2 linked regions of the Xenopus tropicalis genome follow. The protein of the gene in region 1 purifies or fractionates together with the protein of each later gene. This does not show direct contact. Links are inferred from orthologs where the notes say so. Each region holds a gene or a part of one and is shown on either strand. Other genes may lie near its edges.

What was found. The genes of interacting proteins can lie anywhere in the genome.
Region 2: the proteins of ptp4a2 (region 1) and cnnm2 purify together in Homo sapiens (affinity purification with mass spectrometry; 4 studies listed by BioGRID and IntAct, counting the BioPlex papers as one, with this or other methods). This does not show direct contact. The link is inferred for Xenopus tropicalis from reciprocal best matches to the Homo sapiens genes PTP4A2 and CNNM2.

Annotation. Positions count from the first base shown.
Region 1 is NC_030678.2:86,680,633-86,683,728, forward strand, and holds part of ptp4a2 (protein tyrosine phosphatase type IVA 2), read left to right. Parts: intron 1-2,760; coding exon 2,761-2,891; intron 2,892-3,096.
Region 2 is NC_030683.2:28,751,348-28,754,842, forward strand, and holds the end of cnnm2 (metal transporter CNNM2 precursor), read right to left. Parts: intron 2,326-3,495; coding exon 2,141-2,325; intron 1,101-2,140; coding exon 891-1,100; 3' UTR 632-890; downstream 1-631.

The DNA of each region.
Region 1 (3,096 bases):
AGCAAGCCTTTAATTAGTGCCTCTTCACCTGCTGTGGACTTAAAATTCATTGCAAGACTCAGTCAAGAGTGAATCGTAAATTGTCAATGTGGCTGCTCTGACAGCATTGGGACAAATAAACTGACCAGTTTGCATGTATTATGCTTCCTGTAGCACACAAAGAGCTGGATGAAGAAAGAGATTTTTAGTGAGCATCTAGAAATCAAAGTGTAGGTCATAACTCAACTAGGATATTTAAATATGCCTTTGCTTAATTCTAGGCTTATAGAATGCATATAATCAAAATAGATATGTTTTGGGCAGTATGGACAGTGAGGGCTTTTTCAAATCTTACTATGGACTGCTGCTATGTGCTAATTTTAATTTTAATCAGACTGCATTGCCCACAGGTCATACTATAAGCCTGTCTGTCTAGTTACTCTATATACAGTGGTGTGAAAAACTATTTCTTATTCTTTTGCATGTTTGTCACACTTAAATGTTTCTGCTCATCAAAAACCGTTAACTATTAGTCAAAGATAACATAATTGAACACAAAATGCAGTTTTTAAATGAAGGTTTACCTTTTTAAGGGAGAAAAAAAACTCTACATGGCCCTGTGTGAAAAAGTGATTGTTAAAAAATAACTTAACTGTGGTTTATCACACCTGAGTTCAATTTCTGTAGTCACCCCCAGGCCTGATTACTGCCACACCTGTTTCAATCAAGAAATCACTTAAATAGGAGCTACCTGACACAGAGAAGTAGACCAAAAGCACCTCAAAAGCTAGACATCATGCCAAGATCCAAAGAAATTGAGGAACAAATGAGAACAAAAGTAATTGAGATCTATCAGTCTGGTAAAGGTTATAAAGCCATTTCTAAAGCTTTGGGACTCCAGCGAACCACAGTGAGAGCCATTATCCACAAATGGCAAAAACATGGAACAGTGGTGAACCTTCCCAGGAGTGGCCGGCCGACCAAAATTACCCCAAGAGCGCAGAGAACTCATCCGAGAGGCCACAAAAGACCCCAGGACAACATCTAAAGAACTGCAGGCCTCACTTGCCTCAATTAAGGTCAGTGTTCACGACTCTACCATAAGAAAGAGACTGGGCAAAAACGGCCTGCATGGCAGATTTCCAAGGCGCAAACCACTTTTAAGCAAAAAGAACATTATGGCTCGTCTCAATTTTGCTAAAAAACATCTCAATGATTGCCAAGACTTTTGGGAAAATACCTTGTGGACCGACGAGACAAAAGTTGAACTTTTTGGAAGGTGCGTGTCCCGTTACATCTGGCGTAAAAGTAACACAGCATTTCAGAAAAAGAACATCATACCAACAGTAAAATATGGTGGTGGTAGTGTGATGGTCTGGGGTGGTTTTGCTGCTTCAGGACCTGGAAGGCTTGCTGTGATAGATGGAACCATGAATTCTACTGTCTACCAAAAAATCCTGAAGGAGAATGTCCGGCCATCTGTTCGTCAACTCAAGCTGAAGCGATCTTGGGTGCTGCAGCAGGACAATGACCCAAAACACACCAGCAAATCCACCTCTGAATGGCTGAAGAAAAACAAAATTAAGACTTTGGAGTGGCCTAGTCAAAGTCCTGACCTGAATCCTATTGAGATGTTGTGGCATGACCTTAAAAAGGCGGTTCATGCTAGAAAACCCTCAAATAAAGCTGAATTACAACAATTATGCAAAGATGAGTGGGCCTAAATTCCTCCAGAGCGCTGTAAAAGACTCGTTGCAAGTTATCACAAACGCTTGATTGCAGTTATTGCTGCTAAGGGTGGCCCAACCAGTTATTAGGTTCAGGGGGCAATTACTTTTTCACACAGGGCCATGTAGGTTTGGATTTTTTTTTCTCCCTAAATAATAAAAACCCTCATTTAAAAACTGCATTTTGTGTTTACTTGTGTTATCTTTGACTAATAGTTAAATGTGTTTGATGATCAGAAACATTTTGTGTGACAAACATGCAAAAGAATAAGAAATCAGGAAGGGGGCAAATAGTTTTTCACACCACTGTATAGGCAAGTTAGAAACCCCTTTTATAGGAGCATACAAAAGTTGCGCAACAAGAATGTCTTTATACTTTAAAAATATCCCCATTTGAACAATAAGAGGGGAGGTAAGGTGTGCACTGTATAGCTGGCCATACATGCACAGATATTATCAATACCTTGTTTTGTACGATATTCGGTGTGTGTATGGTGGGTCGAAGAGGTGACAGATATCACAAAGGCTGCGGATAGCTGTCATCTCGTCGATTGGCCATGTTAAAAGATTTTGATCGGGGCCATTGAAGGCGCCCAAGCAAAATCTACGTTTAGGGCTGAATCAGCAGGTGGAGGTAGAATTTCTATACTTCCATATCTGACGATTCAGCCCTGAACGTCAGTGGAGGGTGGGAACAAGCTAACCATTGGTATAGATTGTTATACTTTGAAATGTAATACTTTGTTGTATTTGGAGATTTGTAAGAAACTAGAAATACCCATGAAAGTATTTCTTCTTTGTTTATGCATCTAGGAAAGACATGTTTGTGCTTTATTGTAATAGAGCTTCACATATTGAGCCAACATGTTAAAACAGTTAGAATGCAGCTGGTTGAAAAAAAATGTAACTATTCAATGAACTGGTTGCTATGGCTATGGATTACTGCCCAGGTGCAAATTTGCCCAGTGTTAGTAAATGAGACAAACTGTTCTTAAACGTTTAAGGAGATTTTTTTTTTCTTTGCTCTTATTTTCTCTCTTCTGGTTTATTTTAGGATTGGCCCTTTGATGATGGAGCCCCACCTCCAACACAGATAGTTGATGATTGGCTAAACCTCTTGAAAACCAAATTCCGTGAGGAGGCTGGATGCTGCATTGCTGTTCACTGTGTGGCTGGACTTGGGAGGTATGTTCTCCAGCCACCCCCACATATTAATTTGGGGCAATCTCTATAACATAGCTTTGAACAGCCATCCACTGGAAATTCCCTAACCTAAGGCTTATGTCTGAAGTCTTTAAGAAGAGAAGTGGTTTAATCGTGGTTTAAAAAGTTCCAACCATAGTTACATTTAAAAAATGGGTGTCCCTGTATGAAGTAAAGACATGTGTAT
Region 2 (3,495 bases), on another chromosome or scaffold:
ATTAAAATCTTTCTTTTCTGGGGAAAACAGAAAAAAATATGAATTAAAACTGACATATCTTTGGGTTAGTCCACTGTAACGAGCTATAAGATGTATATCTTATGTTTGCTCAGAGTACAGTGATATCAGCTGAATACAATTAGAAGAAAACCTAATGAACTTGGGTAGCCAATGAGGTCTACTTTTAAAGTATAAACCAGAGAAAAAAACATAACATGTAAGACATAACATGTAAGAGCAAAAACAATTTTCTGCTAAAGAAGAATAACAACAACCCGTACTCTTACAGGTTTCCGCTTGTCAATGCAAGAATAAACGACTCCTAGTGAGATGGAAAAAAGGGAAACCATTAACTACCCCATAACATCTGATTTTTAAACACCAAAGTACCTATATCGTCATTTTTTGGCTGAAATTTCCCATGGACAGAAGAATTTCGGATGAATCGAGCCAGTCACTTTGGGGTTTATGAGAACCAGGCTAACATGTATTTAAGGCCTGAGTTTTTGACAACCAACCATAATATTGCAGTAGTGATTTCTGCATTGTGATTGGTCCAATTATGATATCAAACCATGCCACGAGTCAATAAGGGGGGTAAAACAGTATCTTATTTTGTTTGATGATCATCTTTTTTGGTCTCACTCACCAATCCCTAGTTTTATTTATTACTATTTGCTTTATTCCTGATGTCTCTCTCCTGCTCCTGTTTTAAGTACTTCGGTTCCTGCCACCGCTGGGCTCAGAATCTTTGGTCTCAGAATGCTGGGTGGCACTCGGCATGAGCTTGTACTCAAGGTGTTTGCAGTTGCACAGACAGGAATCCGGGAAGGAAGCTTGAGAATGAAGTGAGGACAGTCCTGAATGTCAATGAGCTGGGCTGAACCCCCTCAAATCGGACCTTCATTGTGCATACTGTGGTTGGACTTGTTGTGTGTGACACAGTTCTGTTCGTTTAACAGATTTGCTGTTTCATCTGCTAAGCCGTCGTGTAGCTCGGTAAGAGTCATATCTATTTTAGTGTTCTCACTGTCTGAGGATTGAGGCGTTTTGTCCATGCGTGAAGCCATTAATGCATTTTGGTACTGCTGCCTTGTGATCTAATTTGCAGACAAACAGAAAAGGGTTCCATAACTTAGAGACAGCAACATGAAGATATGTAGACTTACCAAAAATTTCCTCTAATAAAACCTCTTATACTTTTTTATTATCCAAAGTATCAAGTTTCTGGAGTCTGACCTTCGGTTAATATATCTCTGTCTTTCATTGCCCTTAGATGAATGAGAGCAAAAGAGTGGCTGCTATTGGTTACTACTCTGCCCTCGATTTACTAATACAAAATTGGGTTTGGATTCAGTGTTGAGCCAAATTGTTTGTGAAGAGTTGGGGTATCAGGAGCATCCCTAACCCTAAGTGCTTGTTGATTTGCCCTTTTAAAATGACTGACAGGCAAAGTTTTCTTTCCCATTTGCTTTGTGAATTGGCTATGGCAGTGGTACTTTGGCACTAAGAAGCACTTGGCCCTGGGAAATTTAGAAGTATCTTGGATACTGGTTACTTTGTATTTCGGGATATGATTGAAGAAAAAAATACTTTTACAACTTGATGAAATTTATGGCAGATGGTTTTTAACAAACACTGCCATTCTCCGCAGCACATATTTGCTTAGGGTGGTTTCCAGATTCCTGATGACTTATGCTAGGTACTGCAAAATACCTATACTGAGGGCTTTTACCTGTTAAACCCAGAGAATTTCATCTTTAGTCAATTTAGACAGGTATAGTCTGACAACTAGGCCATAATCCCTGCTAGTCTCTTATAAAACCATCATAACACAACTGGAGGGTTATGGTATCTTAAGATGGCCAGGTTGCCACCCTAAAATTGTATGCTGTGTTTGTAATGTCTTCATTGAAGGACTAGGGGAAAGGGGAAATTATCACAATCCCTATAGGAGAAAATAACACAACAGTATGGTGACCCATTAAGCGGACTGTCAGTACTAACTGTATTTGGATTCATTTAAATAACAATAAATAGCCATGCAATTAAACAAAGGTCGGATCTAGCCAAGATTGGTGGTTTTGTTGAACTTTATTAATCTATGAATTTGAAAATGGATAAAAAAAAAGTTGAATACCTTAACAAACTGCATGTCTGTTATGGCTCTTACAGAGTAGTCAGGGATATAGACTTGTAAGAAGGAAGCATTGAGCTGGTTGTTACTATTTCCCAGTGTAGGCGTCACAGCGTCAATTCTATCACTTCTGTTAAGAGAGTCCGAATGGTTCAATCCACATGGACGGGGTGGAGATTTATTCTCTGCTATGACAAAGACAATTAAAAAAATGTAAAATTAACACAAAACAAAAAGGAAACCCTAATAAATTGTAATGGGGTAGGACAGAGCATACAGAAAGAGCCAAGGGGCTGATTTAAGAAAAGCACATCCATATTCACTTTTTTGATTATTTATCAAAATCATCCCTGCTTGGGAATGTAACTATACTGTAACTGGCCCCCAAAGTTTACTTGTTCTATGTTGCATTACATTCAGTTTTATTCGACTGTTAAACGTCAGGACACACTGGGCGAATATACAATTTGTGATGGAATTTATGAAGCTTGAGAACATTGCAGTGTATCTTTGTGGGGGGGGGGGGGGGTCTCTACCCTACCCTGAATTTAAGGGACAGGATTCAGTATTTACCAATTACTGTTACCAACCAAAATACTAAAATATTGGCCCCTCTCTATTTATGCTTTCCTATATATTTGTATAAAAACATAGGATATTGCCTATGGCATGGGGGCAATGTAGCACAGACAGTTATAAGTGAGGAAGAACCACATACAGGCAGGTCAATTGGGTTCTAATAAAACTGAGCTTAGTGTGTGTGAATGTGACAGGGACCTTAGACTGTAAATTTAAAGAAGAAGGAAAGGCAAAGTCACTTGGTGGTACCAAAATGTTAGGCACCCCAAGTGACTTAAATCGCCTACCTTGTACCCCGGGCTGGCGCATGCGCAGTAGAGTGAATAGTGGAACTTTAACAGAGAAGTCGGCTTTTCACTCTACTGCGCATGCGCCGGCCACTGGAATTAGCCGGAAAACGAAGCCAGAAGGAGGAAGCGCTGCAGGTACCCTGGGCTGGTGCTGTTTTCTCCTGACGGGCATCAGCCCGGGGTACAAGGTAAGCGATTAAAGTCACTTGGGGGTGCCTAACATTTTGGCACCCCCAAGTGACTCTGCCTTTCCTTCTCCTTTAACTGGGCAGGGACTCATGTGTAATCTCTGCAGAATATATTGTCAGTGCTATATAAACAAAGGATACTAATAATAATAACACTTTTTATTACCGTGGGGTACAACTGTTTCAAGCCAAGTAAACACTTTACTTTTTACCTGATTTGCTTCTCTGATCATTGCAGTAGCAATCACACACCAGCATCAGCTCAGCACAAGTTTAACATGAGACTAAATACTGACAGATT